Saccharomyces cerevisiae S288C: one gene and its partners. The gene in region 3 interacts genetically with the main gene of each other region. Each region holds a gene or a part of one and is shown on either strand. Other genes may lie near its edges.

Region 1 (4,251 bases), on a different chromosome or scaffold from region 3:
CTCTCGCTACTTTTCTGGTATTTCTCTCGTTTTATTGAAAAGGGGACTGTTTATGTGGGAAAGAGAAGAGGTACAAAGGAGGAAATATATGTAAAGACAAAGTTCGAAAAGAACGAACCATTATATCTGGTTGAGCTTGTTCAGAAAAAAAAGGGAGAAAACTCCAAGAAGGAGTTGAAGGCAAAATTAGAAGTGAATAAGGTTTTTAATGAAAGTGGATATTTACAGAACGATGCGTATTTTAAGTGGTTCTCTGAACAGCACAATGTCCTCGACACCAAAAAAAATGAATAAATAATGTATAAAACATATAACTTTGCAAATGATTCAAAAATTCAAATTTTCTCTCTCTCTCTCTATAAACATAAATATATATGTGTATATGTTTTCTTTTTTTTTTTTTTTTTTTTTTGAATGATATTAAGTTATACGAATGTTCGATAATATATATGTATGAATAAATAAAAAGTTTTTAAAGTAGCCTTAAAGCTAGGCTATAATCATGCATCCTCAAATTCTGTTAAAGTAGGTCCCTCATAAACTTCATTATACAGCACGTCGTTTGGTACTCCAACTGTTCTTGCCTTTAGTGTTGATAGATCTAAAAGATCAGGCTTCAATTCCGCAATGCTAGTAACACCTAATAGTCTCATAGACATTTCAATTTCATCTCTTAAAATTTCAATGGCTTTTTCAACACCATTACGACCATAGCATGAGTTCGCATACAAGAATGGTCTACCCAAACCAACACCTTTAGCACCTAGACATAACGCTTTCAAGACATCTGTACCACGACGAACACCACCGTCCACGAAAACTTCCAACTTATCCTTCAAGTTACGTTGTTCCAGGATTGGCATGGTTTCAGCCAGGACTTCAATGGGAGCCCTTGAAAAATCTAATTGTCTACCACCATGATTGGATAGAACCACCCCACTTACACCGATTTCTGCTGCTTTGATAACATCTTCGGTACGTTGAACACCTTTGATAACAATAGGTAGTTTTGTCTTTTTCTTCAACTCTTCTATATCTTTCCAAGTCAAAGAGGGGTCAATAAACTTTGATAACGCTCTCGAAGCACCTTGAGATTCTTCTACATTAGTTTTCTTCATCGCTTTTGGACCAGCCTTTGTATTGGAAAATTTCAGCTTCATATCTTTTTCTCTTTGACCTAAACTTGGAGCATCCACAGTGACAAATAATGCCTTTACACCCAGCTTTTCTACATTTTTAACCAAATCATCAGTGATCTTTCTATCAGAGTTAACATATAGTTGGTACCATTGAATTTGTTTATCAGAGGGTGCTGCTTCAATAATTTCCTCAGGGGAACATGAAGCCAAAGTAGATATCATTTGTGGGACTTTTGTCACACCTTGGCCACAACCTCTGGCGACATCTTTTTCACCTTCTAAGGGGTTTCCCAGTTTACACAAAGCTGTAGCAGACACGTAGAAGGGAACATCCACATGAGAACCCAACATGTCAGTTGAAATGTCTACTTTGCGTACATCTACAAGGATCTTTGGTTTGAAAAAAATCCTATGATAAGCATTATGGTTTTCTCTGTGAGTAACTTCGTCGTTAGCACCGGAGGAATAGTAGGCCCACGCTTGTTTAGTCAAAGTTTGAGAGGCCAAGTATTCAAAGTCGTAAAGGTTAATAATATTATCTAGAGGAGGTAGCAGCGATTTTAGTTGTTCTTTTCTAGCGATATCTTCCTTAGTTTCACCAGGAGCATAAGGAGGACAGACAAGTTCAGGAGGCATGGATCCTTGAAGGGGACCCAATTTTTTCTCGGGAGCTATATACTTATCGATGACATTAGGAGCATGTAGTGGTTCAAAAATAGCAGTGACATCTTTCCCGGCGTTAAACTTGATAACATCCTGCCCACCTGGATGATTTGGTAGGAATCGCGTTAAGTCGTATACGTAACCATTGATCACAACCCAACAATCATCGGGCTTGTTATGCTTGGCAACTTCAGCGGGCGAAATCTTTTGTTTATTCATATCCAGTTTCGGCTCGTTGTCTATTTGGCCATTATGCCAGTTTAGATACGCCACGGAACTAGTAGCGGCTAGAATTGCACCGACTCTCAAGGCAGTCCATGACTGTGTGCGTTTTCTTGAGTCTTGTTCGAACGACTTGGATTTTGGAACGGTAGAACCGTACGCGCGGATTGTGTTCAATCTAGTCTTAGACGCTCTGAGGATAGCAGCCTCACAGTTCTTCGAGATTTTTAGTAAAGGTTTGTATTTTAGCATTGACTACTTTTGTTTGCTTTCTTCTCTATGCGGGAACTGTATTAGCGACATAGGATGTAAGAATACGAAAAGATGCAAGAAGATTAGTCGACCAGGTACTTATATATTCACATACTCCAACTGAAAGTATTGGAGATCTAAGGTTCAGCAGTTGGTTCTTGGCGGTTCTTGTATGACATTATTATTGGTCGGGTCGTAGTTCTCTCGAACAGGAGGAGGGGGCAAGGAGATATCGGCAGGCTTTTTGCTAGCGCCTTGTTTGAAAAGCGTGGGGGTAGGTCTCCAAGCGATTATTGAGGAAGTAGTTTCAAGTATTACAGAGTCCAGGGCACAAGGGTCTTCATTATAGAGAGAGAATTTTCGTGAAAAAAATGGGCAGAATGCCACATGTTAGCAATGCAACGACTTGAGTGGGGGGTGATCCTTCCGATGTATGCGTGAAAGATCTCGTGTTGTGCAGGAAAGGGAATCATTTCGGAAAAAAAAGATGCAACAAGGAGGATGGCATGTGGATACTACGTTCTTGCGTAATATCCTTTTTGTTGCCTGTGTTAATACGTGAGCAACATTTTTTGTTAAAGTAGGCGATCAACTATTGCCCCCTGATATTGGTAGTAATTCTGCTAAAATATCGGCTGAGAAATGGTGATTCTCAAATAATTGCTGGGATTCCACTGGATATGGCCCCATTCTTAGATATATGGAACGTAGTAGAAGGCCTCTTAGAGGCTATGGGAGTCTCTCAAGAGAAAATCGACATTTTTACGTAATCATTCGTTCATTTCACTTTATACGTCATGATTCAATATCGTATTACTTTATCAAGTACCCGCGTTTAAACTTCATTAAATGACTGCGTCTCAATCTTTATGTCATCCTCCCTCCGCAAGTGACAATGTACTGGTAAAATAAAAACTAACTAACTAGATGATATTTTTAGAGTTTTATTCCAACGTTTCTCAATAGGCGATGGAGGAACAGAGTGAATATAAGAGGCTCTGTGGATTTATGGTTACCGGATTTATTTCGTAAATTCTTATTGAAGAATGGGTGAATTTTGAGATAATCGTTGGGATTCCATTTTTAATAAGGCAATAATATTAGGTATGTAGAATGTACTAGAAGTTCTCCTCGAGGATTTAGGAATCCATAAAAGGGAATCTGCAATTCTACACAATTCTATAAATATTATTATCATCATTTTATATGTTAATATTCATTGATCCTATTACATTATCAATCCTTGCGTTTCAGCTTCCACTAATTTAGATGACTATTTCTCATCATTTGCGTCATCTTCTAACACCGTATATGATAATATACTAGTAACGTAAATACTAGTTAGTAGATGATAGTTGATTTTTATTCCAACACTTATATTCTATATATCCATAACATTGTCTACATATAATCCGAGAGGTTACGACAACATTCATATAATAAGGGTAGTACTGACACTTTATTTTGAAGTAAATCAAAATAGTCACTCTCGGTAGCCAAGTTGGTTTAAGGCGCAAGACTGTAATTTACCACTACGAAATCTTGAGATCGGGCGTTCGACTCGCCCCCGGGAGATATTTTTTTTCCCTTTTTCTCCAGGCCTAGTGAGGTTTGAGTTTTGAACGTTTTATAGATAGATGTAAGGTAGCCAGAATGAGCACTTAGCCTTTAAAGTAAATTGAGTAGAGATACGTAAACAGTCGTGATAAATATGTAATACATTGTATTATTTTAAATAGGTTAAATTTTCTTTTTTTTTTTTCCATTTCATTTTCATTTTCATTTCCTGCAGTTATTTTTTTTCTTATTAATCTATATCCATGTAATCGTTAGCGATATTGTTGTTAGTCAACGCGGCCATGGCAGTACCGGGTGCTTGTGATGCAATTATACTTTGGGATGGTAGAAGATGATACTGGTGTTGTATAATACTAGCACTTCCAGTAGGACTCGTGCCTGTTATGTCGCGATTAGT
Region 2 (4,502 bases), on a different chromosome or scaffold from region 3:
CAATTATCAAATTGAGAATTGGGTGAATTTTGAGATAATTGTTGGGATTCCATTGTCGATAAAGGCTATAATATTAGGTATACAGAATATACTAGAAATTCTCCTCGAGGATATAGGAATCCCAAAATGGAATCTATATTTCTATACACTAATATTACGATTATTCCTCATTCCGTTTTATATGTTTCATTATCCTATTACATTATCAATCCTTGCACTTCAGCTTCCCCTAACTTCGATGACAGCTTCTCATAACTTATGTCATAATCTAACACCGTATATGATAGTATATTGATACTATAACTATTAGTTGACAGACGATAGTGAATTTTTATTCCAACACTTCTTTCCATGATTTTATTCCTAATCAAGAAAATATAGATTTTCACCATAGTAATGATATAGAAAACTAGAAACACTTTCACTTCAAAGTGTTTCAGTCCCAGTGGCCGAGTGGTTAAGGCGATGCCTGCTATTTCCTCAGAAAAGCAATTAGGCATTGGGTTTTACCTGCGCAGGTTCGAATCCTGTCTGTGACGCACTTTATTTTTTCTACATCCACTATTTTAAAGCTTGATTTTTTTGATTGTGAGCCACCTTCATGTACCTATCGTTTGTGGACTATTGCCATTAATTGCTTATTCACTTGCAATGATTTTATAAACATTACTCAAACTATCGGTTCCTACTGGAAGATATAACAAAAAAATTTGGCATATTTCTAAAGGTATCATTATGAACGGCTAAAATTTTTCAGCTTGCTACTATTCTTGAATGATGCCTCTTTAAACATTACTGTGCATTAACACACAATAACAGTGACTTGTAACGGAAATATCGATATACTACAACAGTTAATTATGGGTAAAGCTAAGAAAACAAGAAAGTTTGGCCTCGTAAAAAGAACTTTGAACACCAAGAAAGACCAAAGATTGAAGAAAAACCAGGAAAATATCAAAACTAAAGAAGACCCTGAGCTAACCAGGAATATACCACAAGTATCAAGTGCACTTTTCTTTCAATACAATCAAGCTATAAAGCCACCTTATCAAGTACTGATAGATACCAATTTTATAAATTTTTCTATCCAGAAAAAAGTCGATATTGTTAGAGGAATGATGGACTGTCTACTCGCAAAATGTAACCCGTTAATCACAGATTGTGTGATGGCAGAGTTAGAAAAATTGGGCCCCAAGTACCGTATCGCCTTGAAACTGGCTCGAGATCCTAGAATAAAGAGACTAAGCTGTTCGCACAAGGGTACGTACGCGGATGACTGTTTAGTGCATCGAGTCTTACAACATAAGTGTTACATCGTAGCTACAAACGATGCCGGCCTGAAACAAAGAATTAGAAAAATCCCTGGAATTCCTTTGATGAGCGTAGGCGGTCACGCATACGTCATTGAAAAATTGCCAGATGTCTTTTAAACTACTGTGTATTCACTCTTTAAGTATGTAGTGCAATGTTTTTGGTTTATATGTATATTAATTTCATAACAACAAGTTCATGGTTTGCCCGTATTGGAGCATGTTTTCAGATGAACTGAAATGCCTAAGGATATTTCTATTTCTTTTCAAGACCATTTACTCAATAATTGCTCTAAAGAAACGCAAATGCAAGGAGAAAAAAGAGGGCGTTTGAGACGCGACCAGTAACAGTTATAAACGGTAACCATTTGGCATCTTTTCATAATATCACTGTCAGCTATTATCCTCTTCCATGGGTTCCACGCGATGCAGAATATTTCTTAAGGAAGTTTTCATCTTCGCGCAAGCAAGGGACAAAACTTGATTGTATTTTTACATAAGCAAGCATATTTGATGCTGAAGAAGTATTATTATAAAAACTAAACATTGGAAAATACACATATAGCATACCTTAATATATACGGATAAAAAAAAGGTTGAAAAAATGGCTGGAATTTTGTCAAAGACTCTTTCAGAAGTGCATCCTTCCCTCCGAACAAATGGTATGGGTATCGGTAACACTCACAGGAGGATATCGCTAGGCTTCCTACCTCCCAACAAGAAGAATCCTCTGGTACGAAAATTTCGTGCAAGAACGAGAAATATTGATCAGAGGAGTTTCAGATCTTTAACAGATGATTTTGGAAGTAACGTCCATGAACCAAATCCGTACTTAGGTAATATTGATGAGGAACCTGACCTTTACTATCATGATGAAGAAGATGGCGAACTGAGCAGAACGATTTCTCTACCATCAAGGGTATCAGAAACTCCTGAGCTTTCGCCACAAGATGTTGATTGGATTCTACATGAACATGAACGACGATACTCATCGGTATGCAACTCTGATAATGAGGAAGCAAGTCAAAGCAACACACCAGATAGAATACAAGAATATTCTGGAAGAGAACTAGAATATGACGAATTTATGAATAGACTCCAAGCTCAGAAACAGAAATTAACTCGAAGTGCGGTAACAGACGCTAAAGGCACCTCACATCACAGAAGACCATCATTCGTATCTGTGACTAGCCGAGGCTCAGTTCCCACAATTTACCAAGAGATCGACGAGAACGATTCTGAGGCACTAGCAGAATTGGCTCACAGCCACGTCACCTTCAAATCAGAAGCAAGAGTTTTGGCATCTTATTCCTTCCCTCTAATTTTCACATTCTTATTGGAACAGATTTTCCCTATGGTATGTTCATTAACTGTGGGCCACTTAGGCAAAAATGAACTAGCAGCTGTGTCCTTAGCATCCATGACTTCTAATATAACACTAGCGATATTCGAGGGTATTGCCACTAGTCTAGATACTCTATGCCCTCAAGCGTATGGCTCTGGGAGATTCTACAGTGTAGGAGTTCACCTTCAACGTTGCATTGCTTTTTCATTGGTCATATATATACCTTTTGCTGTCATGTGGTGGTATTCTGAACCTCTTCTTTCTTATATCATCCCTGAGAAAGAATTAATCAACCTAACGTCACGATTTTTAAGAGTACTAATATTGGGAGCGCCAGCGTATATTTTTTTTGAAAATTTAAAACGATTTTTACAAGCCCAAGGTATTTTCGATGCAGGCATCTACGTTTTGACAATATGTGCTCCCTTAAACGTATTAGTCAGTTACACTCTCGTTTGGAACAAGTACATTGGTGTTGGATTTATTGGGGCTGCAATTGCCGTTGTGCTTAACTTCTGGCTAATGTTTTTCTTACTATTGTTTTATGCATTGTATATTGATGGAAGAAAATGCTGGGGTGGATTCTCAAGGAAGGCTTTCACCCATTGGAATGATTTAGGGCATTTAGCCTTCTCAGGTATTATTATGTTGGAGGCGGAAGAGCTGTCATATGAACTATTGACGTTATTTAGTGCATATTACGGTGTCAGTTATCTAGCAGCTCAGTCGGCAGTATCTACTATGGCTGCATTGCTCTATATGATCCCATTTGCAATAGGTATATCTACCTCTACGAGAATTGCGAACTTCATTGGTGCAAAAAGAACCGATTTCGCGCACATCTCTTCTCAAGTTGGGTTGTCATTTTCGTTTATTGCGGGGTTCATCAATTGCTGCATACTAGTATTTGGACGTAATCTAATCGCCAACATTTACTCAAAAGATCCCGAAGTCATCAAATTAATTGCGCAAGTATTGCCCTTGGTGGGTATTGTGCAAAATTTCGACTCGCTTAATGCCGTTGCTGGGTCTTGCCTCAGGGGTCAAGGCATGCAATCTCTAGGAAGTATAGTAAATTTAATGGCTTACTATCTATTTGGAATTCCCCTGGCTCTCATCCTAAGTTGGTTCTTTGACATGAAATTGTATGGTCTTTGGATTGGTATTGGAAGTGCCATGCTTTTAATTGGGCTAGTTGAGGCTTATTACGTATTATTTCCCGATTGGGACAAAATTATGACCTATGCTGAGATTTTGAAAGAAACCGAAGATGATGAAGTAGATAGCGATGAGTATTTAACAGACTCAGACGATCCTGATGAAAACACAGCCCTCTTAGGGGCTTAATTACAGAGGTATATCCGTATTTTCATTTCTTTATTTGATAGTACACGTGATTGTATACCCAATGCATATATTACTAAGAACTTTTTATAATGATGTAATTCAAAATGAAATAAATTACTGATTCATACGCGGTCAAAAAAAAAAAAAGAATATGACGGTTTCTTATTTACAAGCTTTTCTACATATGATTCAAATTATTCTAAAATGTAGCCCTTTTTTGTTTTCTTATCTCCTTACGCTTTTGATTTGCCACTTTCTTAGAATCTCTTATCAATATTTTATCACCAAAAAATTCATAATCTTGCATGTAACGCCTGTCCATATTGAATTCATCCGTTATGGCCGCATCATTCAATCCTAGTTTTTGAATAGTCCAGTAGTATTTTTCAGGATTATCTCTTTTCAAATATCTTAATATTGCCTGCCTTTGCTGGACTAATATCCTCAAATTTCTGGTGTTAGCAAAATCCTTACGATGCTCTTTAATATGGTTTGCCATA
Region 3 (4,572 bases):
CCGCCGCTAAGCACTCTACTTGTGGATCTTGGTGGTTCACCCTTTAAGCGTCCTCCAAAAACAGTGGTCATTCTTTCTTCGACAGAAGTAGAGATATCTTGAGTGTTTCCTTCAAAAGTCATATCTACTCTGGAGTATCTTGTGAACCTCCGCACCGGATAAATTCTGTAAAGTAATGACCATCCCTGATTTCTTATCATTTTCTACTTTTGATCACGTCTCTATCTAATGACGGTTTCATGCACCCTCTGACTGTTGTAATTTACGTATTATTATTCTGTTTAATTTATGCTATTTATGTAAATGAGTTCGGCCATGTCGGAGGAGAAAGATATCTTTTTTCAAATTTGAGTATCTGATTCGGGCTTATAATACATGCCCACGACATCGCTCGATCATATATTCCAACTCTTCAAGCTCCCTCTTCATTTTATTCTTCACGTTGAACGGTTCAAAGAGCCCCAGAAAATAGGTGCTGAGATCCAGACACTCCTTGTACTTACATTGGTAAAATAAACGATGGCAGAAACCACTAAGCACCTGTCGCTGATGCTTATTGGAGATATCGTACTTGCCTTCCCGGATCTCAACCAAGGGATCTACCTCATCCATCCATCCTACCTTTGTCCGCACAGGGCCTTGTTCTACTTCGAAGTAGTGCTGCAATTGCTGTGTATACTCTTCTTCCGTTTGACCTTTACGTATTTTAGTTTTCCCGGTGGATTTTCTAACAATTACTTCACCTGTTCTACCATCTAACGAGATTGGCTTAGTCACTGATTGATCCTTCTCTCCGTGGGCTTTCCTAAAACCTGTACTATAGTTTTTTTCCACCATTTTTGGTGCTTCTTCTCTATCAGATGCTTCTTTCATAAAAATTATTATCTTTCTTAGCTGTTATTCATCTTACATTTTTTTTTCAATTACGGCGAGGCGATGACTTCAATCGTTGCTGTCAAGATTGAATTGACAATTACAGTCGATGTTGAATATTAACTTATATATGACAGATCATTACAGCTAGTCTAGTTCGACAAGATTAGTAAGATTAGGAGTTATTTTTAACTGCTTATTATGCAAGTTGTGTAGGCCACAGGCGCAACTGAAAAACATAATTTCAGATTAGGCAGTTACTGGAAAGATCGCGTTCTTGTATTGTCTAAATAGAAGCAGTTGTTTTAATAATGCTTACAATTGAACTATGAACCAAAGCAATAATTTATGAGAAACTAAAATGGGATGCATCAGATCTTTGCACTCAATTGAGTTTAAAACTGTACAGGTACTAATATTATATTAACGCTGCTTCTATAACACTTGTTTTGACATGACGATAAGTGTAGTGTATTCAAATGCCGTATGTCACTTGAACACACAGGGAACTGCACTCTGCACTTCGGAACAAGATTGAAAGTTACTGTGTTATTAACCTTTGCCAACAAGCGAAAACAACCAGGTGTTTCTGCGGTTTACAAAATCTTTAAGGGATTGAGGTTAGTTGGCTCAAAGAGAAGAAGTTCCCAGTCGATGTATCAAGCAGAGCTAAGAGAAAAAGTGCCGCGAAAGGGTTTGATTGGTCAAGTTGGCTTGTTCATCAGGAACTAAATTAATCAAGGTGTGATTCTATCTGTCAACCCCCCCCCTTGATACTTCCTGTACTTAGAATCAATTTATTAAATACAAATTTAGAATCTGTGATTCGTAAATCTTAAGTGTTTAAATACTAAGTGTGTATTAAAGGCTTTACTTCAAGCAACGAAAAATAAATAACCCCGAATATATGAGGGGCAATAATACCTTTTCACTCATTTGATGAAAAAGAAAAGATGTTTGATGTTATAGAAAATACCTTATACCATATCTTCTACCTACTCATCAATATCAAACCCTCACAGAATAGAGATAAAGAACATCAGAACCATCTGGGCAATGTCATTTTTAAAGTTCGCTTATAGAAACTCTTGGCGATACTATAGCAAGTCCACACGGCATTTTCATAAAATACCTATAAGACAGTTCATAATACCTACGTCAATTGCTTTTTATTTGACACAAAATTCGTTTCCAAAACAAAATTGTTTGATATACAATGATTCTCTAAAACCGGATCCCAAAGGTGATACTTTTGAAATGGGCCTCTACGTTTCCTCAGAAAACGAATTGCAGGAAAAGCTTAAATCTTTCAGGTCTGCTAAGATCACTGAATCACGAAATAAATTAATAAGATATCTAAGAATCTTTTGGTTCGGTTTTAATGATAATATTGTTGAGCCTGTATGCACGATTTTAAGGTTTTTAGAAATTTCAGCTATTTTTTTACCTCTTCTCCTATTATACCCCATATCATGGTTTGGTCATAAACTCAAAATTACGGACACCAATATAACTGAAACTCGAGGTTCATTGATTTGGTGTCAACTACTGCGTAAAGCATTGGAATTGGCTGGCCCGAGTTTCATTAAACTCGGACAATGGGCAGGATCGAGAACCGATATATTCTCTCACGCACTGTGTCATGAGTTGGGTAAATTGCATAGTAACGTTACAGCTCACTCTCTAAGCTTTACTCTGGAAAAACTTTCTCAAGCATTAAAGGTTGACAAGATCGAAGATGCTTTTGATGAATTTAATCGAACACCAATTGGAGTTGGGTCCATCGCACAAGTTTACGTGGGTGAACTATCCCAAAAGTACATCGATAAATATGACAATATACAAATTGGTAAGGATGGAAATCGTTGGTGTGCCATCAAGATCTTGCATCCAAATGTAAGATCTCAGATCCGGAGAGATTTGAAAATAATGAAATTCTGTGCTGACGCAATAAATTGGATTCCGACTATGGAATGGCTGTCTTTACCCAGCGAAGTCGATCAGTTTTCCATATTAATGAATATTCAGTTGGATCTAAGAATTGAGGCGTTAAACCTGGAAAGATTCAATGAGAACTTTAAAAATTCTATTCAGGTGAAATTTCCTAAACCATTTCTCCCCTTGTCAAATAGGGATGTTATGTTCGAAGAGCATGTATATGGTCTTTCCATGGAAAAGTTTTTATCTACGAAGAAGCAAATTAACGACGTTGAACTTTGTAAAAAAGTCAGTGATCCCTTCGTTGACGCGTTTCTACAAATGCTAATTCTTGATGATTTTGTTCATGCTGATTTGCATCCAGGCAATGTTATAATCAGATTTGTGAAGACGAACAAATACGGCACAAACATTATATCCTCCGAACTTGAATCGTACAGAATAACGCACGACCTGAGGAAGAAGATAGAGGAGGACCAAGATCAGGACTTTGTTGGAAAACTGAAGTCTGTATTAACTAATTACACTCCCCAAATTTGTTTTATCGATACAGGAATAATTACAGAATTGAATGAAAAAAACAGAATTAATTTCATAGCTCTATTCAACGCATTGGCCCGATTTGATGGTTATAGAGCTGGTGAGTTGATGATTGAGAGATCAAGAACTCCAGAAACAGCTATTGATAAGGAAGTATTTGCGTTTAAGGTAGAAAAGCTAGTGGATAAAGTTAAACAAAGAACATTTACATTGGGAACCGTCTCAATTGGCGATTTACTCGATCAAATGCTTAGTATGGTAAGGTCGCACCATGTTAGAATGGAGTCCGACTTTGTTTCCGTGGTGGTCGCTATTTTACTTCTAGAGGGTATTGGACGCCAGTTAGATCCAAACTTGGACTTATTTGAAAGGTTCGTATTTTACGCATGGATTAACGGTTTTAAAGAATAACATCAATTTTTTAAAACCCTTTTCTATTGCTTTTTTTTGCTTTTTATTGCTACTAAAGAAATTCTTTTACTAACAAAAATACCCACATCTTGTAACTTCTCTTCGTAAACAGTTCGCTGCCTATATTACGTGAATTCGGGTTTAAGCGGGAAGCCAAAAGTCTCTTGAAAGATGCAAGCACATTATCAATGCTCAAGATATGGGTTGGTTTAGAAGTGCGTCAATTAATGCATCTCTCGATGAAGCAAATATACGATCTTGTCAGGACTGATCAATTGTGTCCTAATTATTAATATTCTTTCTTTTTATGCATCTTTTATAATTGCGACTTCCACGTGTTCGCAGGTGGAGCAATGTTACACACGCTGTCCCAACATATTAGCTCTCCAAAAAAACGACCAAGTTTATTTAAGTGACAAATAATAATTTGCTGTTGCTCTAGCTGAAATTTAGACCAGTGCTGTCATTATCGACTCGTAGTGTTCTTTTAATAGTAAATTTCGTCAAAACGTTTCTAATTCACTTAATAGCGCCAACTGAATAAGAGAATTATTTTTAGAACGTGCACATTATATTAAAAAGAGAGCGTTGGCTGACAGAAGTAAAAAATAAATTATTGTCTTACAAAGTGAGACTATTAAAGAGTTTAAGTTTTGCAATTAGTGCTTCATTGAACAATAAGGCAACGGTAGCAAAAAATTTAAACCCAACTAAGAAGGGAACCCTCATCAAATTACACAAAAATAGCCACTATCTCCAACTAAGGTGACAAACTACTGAAACTGTAAGGTCTTTATATAATCAAACAAT
Region 4 (5,641 bases), on a different chromosome or scaffold from region 3:
CTGTTGTATTGTTATTGCTATTGGACGATATATAAAATGAACCTATAGCAAGATCTCAGGGAAATACGATCCAACCAAGGTGCTTTATATACAGCTTGGTGTCTCTGACAGGTTGGAGTACAGAGGAGAAGGCGCCATAGCCGCCCAACCCGCGATAACGAAAAAAAGCTGTAAGAAAATGCAGTCTTCCCCAACGTTTGTTACCCCAACAATACCGAAATAGCCGCCCAACCGCAAATCTGGCAAAAAATCTTTTCGTATCTCGCTGCAGATGACCTTCCAACCCGCCCCTTTTTGTAGTCACGCCTTTAAGGGCCCTTGTTTGGCTTGCTCACATGGGGCTACACGTAAAAACCGTAGCTTGGAGAACCACTCAGCCGCTCGCCTATTCCACGGAGCTCCGGATCAACGGGCAGTGGACCCTCTCGAAAATAAGGAAAGTTGCGGGGCCAAAAATTATTATTTCTTATGTAAAAGAAGAGACTATATACGACGCCTATCTACTTTTGTTCCACAACTATCCACTTAAGGGCTAGATACCCCATTATTAAAAACACCACATTAAACAGAGCCAGGATCTTGATGTCAAATACAAGGTTTTGGACAACAAATCCAAATGTGCTCAAGATAGTAGCGCCTGGAACTTCAATATTTAAGCCGTACTTTCTCTCTTTCAGCATCAATGTTTTGACCTCATTGATCAATAAAGATTCGTAGGCGTAGTAAAACACAGAGAAGTTTTTCAGGTACTTGAAGGCCACGTTTGTAATATTCTTAGTATTGATAAATAGTCCGCTAAACAGTAGTGAGCCCAAAAGCACCAGCACGCTTAATATTATGGAGTTATTCAAGTCTTCAAAAATTATGCCGATGGTTAGGATTTCCAACGATATCCCAAGGTTAAACAGTATAAGGATTCCAATACATTTAAAAAAAGCATTGTCTTTCATGTTTAAACCAGTCATTGGGTAAACAATCAATGACAAGAGTATAGGTGGTACAACACGTAGCGGGACCACTTCGCTCATTATCTTACTAATGTAGTATGCAAGTGGCGAGTAATAGTTATTGGATCTTTCTTTTATGAAAATGATCCTTTCCAGAGCGAACGAGCTGAGACCTGTGAATGTAACAAAACCGAAGTACGTTAGTATAAAGAAGAACAGCCCCATTCTGTTCTGAAAACCGCTGATATCATTGGAGACGTTGTAATATAGTGTTCCCAAGAATAAACTCAATAGGATCGTCAGTAAATAATTACCCAATAATAGTTTAGGGTTTCTGTACATGTTTTTAAAACTTCTTGAATTCAATATCGATAACTGTTGCAGAAAACCAGCAGATTGTTGACCTGTGGGTAAATCTCCATTCAAAACGTTACTTTCCTCATCACCTTCGCTTAAAACTTCCTCGATCTCCTGTGAAAGCTCTGCATAATAGACGCTATCTTTATATTTATCGTGTAGTAGTTTGGTATTTAAGTCAATCTCAGTAGCACCTCGCCTTCCATCTGTTCCCTCTACATCTTCTTCATCTCTGAGTAAAGATCTGATCTCATCTCTATGAGCTGCAAGATGAGCCCACTCTCTCTGTGTTGTACCATCACTGCTAGTAAATGTTGTTTGGTGTATCGTATTATCAATATCGTTAGTATCCGTACCAGCTTCTAAATCGGAAATGTTTCTGATTCTTCTCCTTTTCCCCTGAGGACCGGCTTCAAAAGTAATATCAATCAAATAATCAGCAATATTATAGTTGTCCGGACAGATATATCCCTCATTTCTCAAAAATTCTGACACTTTTTTGGCATTTCCGGAATAGACCATCTCACCTTTACTTAACAGGACCAATTTATCGAATAAATAAAATATATTTGATCTTGGCTGATGAATAGATAGCACCAATGTCCTGTTATAGTCGCTGGATAACCTTACCAAACATTCAATAACATTATTGGCATTACTAGCATCTAAACCAGATGTAGGTTCATCCAAAAATAAAACCAATGGAGATGTCACTAATTCACATGCAATGGAAACTCGGCGTTTTTCACCTCCACTAATACCACGATCAAATTCATTACCAATAATACGATCTTTGATATCAATAATTCTTAGTTCTTCCAACACCTTATAAACTCTTGCCTTCTTGGCCTCGAATGACAATGCTTTTGGCAATCTTAACAGCGCACTATTTAATACGGTTTCAAAAACAGTCAAAGTGGGCAGCAAAAAGTCATCTTGATCGACGAACCCGATTATTTTCGAGAAAGATTTACGGTCCATACTAATACCGTTAACTTTTATGGAACCCGAAACGTGACCTGTTTTCCGTTTCATTGCTAGGATATCTAATAAAGTAGTTTTACCCGCACCAGATCCACCCATGATAGCTAATATTTGGCCGGGCTTCACGATACCACTTATTTCATTCAGCACAGTTTCTTCAACACCATCTGAATTTATCGAGGGGACACTATAAGTGATATTTTCAAAACTTAATGTCGCCAGTGTGTCATCTTCATTTTGTAAGAAATTATTCACCGCATCTTCATCTGGCAAACGAATGGGAGACTTTGAGGAACCCAATCCATTTCTGAATAACGGAGATTTAGAAATGTAAAAGGTAGCAAATGTAAAAAGTGCCAGGACCATCACAGCAGTCAATGCCAACACCAATTTCCCTTGCCATGACACTGTTGGATCTTTTGAAGGAGATTTGTAACCTGGAATCTCACTATAATGAACACATTCACCGGATTCACACTTCAAAGTAATATAAGGGTCACCAAACACGGTCAATATCAAATCATTCATAGAAGGCTCACTGAATTTACATTGCCTTGTTTCTAAATCACAGCTGAAATCTCCTGGCCCTTTTATTGTCTCTGTCAGGAAATCCGAGATATCTATAGACCCCTTAGCACCACACAACACAGTGTCGGGAACGCATTTGCATTGAACGTCATTACACTTATAATGGGAGGTATTCTGTTCCAAGTCGTATTCAAAGGCACAATCACTTAAGCCACAATAGAAGCTTTCTAACTGATCTATCCAAAACTGAAAATTACATTCTTGATTAGGTTTATCACAGGCAAATGTAATTTGTGGTATTTTGCCGTTCAAAATCTGTAGAATTTTCTCATTGGTCACATTACAACCTGAAAATACTTTATCTACAATCATACCATTCTTATAACATGTCCCCTTAATACTAGGATCAGGCATGAACGCATCACAGACAAAATCTTCTTGACAAACGTCACAATTGATCCCTCCCCATCCGTTATCACAATGACAGGTGTCATTTTGTGCTCTTATGGGACGATCCTTATTACCGCTTTCATCCGGTGATAGACCGCCACAGAGGGGCAGAGAGCAATCATCACCTGCAAACCCTTCTATACACTCACATCTACCAGTGTACGAATTGCATTCAGAAAACTGTTTGCATTCAAAAATAGGTAGCATACAATTAAAACATGGCGGGCATGTATCATTGCCCTTATCTTGTGCAGTTAGACGCGAATTTTTCGAAGAAGTACCTTCAAAGAATGGGGTCTTATCTTGTTTTGCAAGTACCACTGAGCAGGATAATAATAGAAATGATAATATACTATAGTAGAGATAACGTCGATGACTTCCCATACTGTAATTGCTTTTAGTTGTGTATTTTTAGTGTGCAAGTTTCTGTAAATCGATTAATTTTTTTTTCTTTCCTCTTTTTATTAACCTTAATTTTTATTTTAGATTCCTGACTTCAACTCAAGACGCACAGATATTATAACATCTGCATAATAGGCATTTGCAAGAATTACTCGTGAGTAAGGAAAGAGTGAGGAACTATCGCATACCTGCATTTAAAGATGCCGATTTGGGCGCGAATCCTTTATTTTGGCTTCACCCTCATACTATTATCAGGGCCAGAAAAAGGAAGTGTTTCCCTCCTTCTTGAATTGATGTTACCCTCATAAAGCACGTGGCCTCTTATCGAGAAAGAAATTACCGTCGCTCGTGATTTGTTTGCAAAAAGAACAAAACTGAAAAAACCCAGACACGCTCGACTTCCTGTCTTCCTATTGATTGCAGCTTCCAATTTCGTCACACAACAAGGTCCTAGCGACGGCTCACAGGTTTTGTAACAAGCAATCGAAGGTTCTGGAATGGCGGGAAAGGGTTTAGTACCACATGCTATGATGCCCACTGTGATCTCCAGAGCAAAGTTCGTTCGATCGTACTGTTACTCTCTCTCTTTCAAACAGAATTGTCCGAATCGTGTGACAACAACAGCCTGTTCTCACACACTCTTTTCTTCTAACCAAGGGGGTGGTTTAGTTTAGTAGAACCTCGTGAAACTTACATTTACATATATATAAACTTGCATAAATTGGTCAATGCAAGAAATACATATTTGGTCTTTTCTAATTCGTAGTTTTTCAAGTTCTTAGATGCTTTCTTTTTCTCTTTTTTACAGATCATCAAGGAAGTAATTATCTACTTTTTACAACAAATATAAAACAATGTCTTTATCTTCAAAGTTGTCTGTCCAAGATTTGGACTTGAAGGACAAGCGTGTCTTCATCAGAGTTGACTTCAACGTCCCATTGGACGGTAAGAAGATCACTTCTAACCAAAGAATTGTTGCTGCTTTGCCAACCATCAAGTACGTTTTGGAACACCACCCAAGATACGTTGTCTTGGCTTCTCACTTGGGTAGACCAAACGGTGAAAGAAACGAAAAATACTCTTTGGCTCCAGTTGCTAAGGAATTGCAATCATTGTTGGGTAAGGATGTCACCTTCTTGAACGACTGTGTCGGTCCAGAAGTTGAAGCCGCTGTCAAGGCTTCTGCCCCAGGTTCCGTTATTTTGTTGGAAAACTTGCGTTACCACATCGAAGAAGAAGGTTCCAGAAAGGTCGATGGTCAAAAGGTCAAGGCTTCCAAGGAAGATGTTCAAAAGTTCAGACACGAATTGAGCTCTTTGGCTGATGTTTACATCAACGATGCCTTCGGTACCGCTCACAGAGCTCACTCTTCTATGGTCGGTTTCGACTTGCCACAACGTGCTGCCGGTTTCTTGTTGGAAAAGGAATTGAAGTACTTCGGTAAGGCTTTGGAGAACCCAACCAGACCATTCTTGGCCATCTTAGGTGGTGCCAAGGTTGCTGACAAGATTCAATTGATTGACAACTTGTTGGACAAGGTCGACTCTATCATCATTGGTGGTGGTATGGCTTTCACCTTCAAGAAGGTTTTGGAAAACACTGAAATCGGTGACTCCATCTTCGACAAGGCTGGTGCTGAAATCGTTCCAAAGTTGATGGAAAAGGCCAAGGCCAAGGGTGTCGAAGTCGTCTTGCCAGTCGACTTCATCATTGCTGATGCTTTCTCTGCTGATGCCAACACCAAGACTGTCACTGACAAGGAAGGTATTCCAGCTGGCTGGCAAGGGTTGGACAATGGTCCAGAATCTAGAAAGTTGTTTGCTGCTACTGTTGCAAAGGCTAAGACCATTGTCTGGAACGGTCCACCAGGTGTTTTCGAATTCGAAAAGTTCGCTGCTGGTACTAAGGCTTTGTTAGACGAAGTTGTCAAGAGCTCTGCTGCTGGTAACACCGTCATCATTGGTGGTGGTGAC

The links.
Region 1: mutations in CQD1 (region 3) and CYB2 together harm fitness more than expected from each alone (negative genetic interaction), as found in Saccharomyces cerevisiae (2 studies listed by BioGRID).
Region 2: mutations in CQD1 (region 3) and YDR338C together harm fitness more than expected from each alone (negative genetic interaction), as found in Saccharomyces cerevisiae (2 studies listed by BioGRID).
Region 4: mutations in CQD1 (region 3) and ADP1 together harm fitness more than expected from each alone (negative genetic interaction), as found in Saccharomyces cerevisiae (2 studies listed by BioGRID).

Annotation. Positions count from the first base shown.
Region 1 is NC_001145.3:165,033-169,283, forward strand, and holds CYB2 (L-lactate dehydrogenase (cytochrome)), read right to left. Parts: upstream 2,277-4,251; coding exon 501-2,276; downstream 1-500. Other genes in the region: signal peptidase complex subunit SPC2, read left to right, coding at 1-294; YML054C-A (uncharacterized protein), read right to left, coding at 2,591-2,749; YML053C (uncharacterized protein), read right to left, coding at 4,084-4,251. UniProt on the Saccharomyces cerevisiae protein: Catalyzes the oxidation of (S)-lactate (L-lactate) to pyruvate with subsequent transfer of electrons to cytochrome c. Is involved in the utilization of (S)-lactate as a sole source of carbon for growth.
Region 2 is NC_001136.10:1,146,879-1,151,380, reverse strand, and holds YDR338C (uncharacterized protein), read left to right. Parts: upstream 1-1,914; coding exon 1,915-4,002; downstream 4,003-4,502. Other genes in the region: rRNA-processing protein FCF1, read left to right, coding at 861-1,430; mitochondrial 37S ribosomal protein uS15m MRPS28, read right to left, coding at 4,202-4,502.
Region 3 is NC_001148.4:344,747-349,318, reverse strand, and holds CQD1 (Cqd1p), read left to right. Parts: upstream 1-1,929; coding exon 1,930-3,722; intron 3,723-3,874; coding exon 3,875-4,055; downstream 4,056-4,572. Other genes in the region: DPC25 (Dpc25p), read right to left, coding at 1-200; YPL108W (uncharacterized protein), read right to left, coding at 367-873.
Region 4 is NC_001135.5:133,224-138,864, forward strand, and holds ADP1 (putative ATP-dependent permease ADP1), read right to left. Parts: upstream 3,651-5,641; coding exon 501-3,650; downstream 1-500. Other genes in the region: PGK1 (phosphoglycerate kinase), read left to right, coding at 4,523-5,641.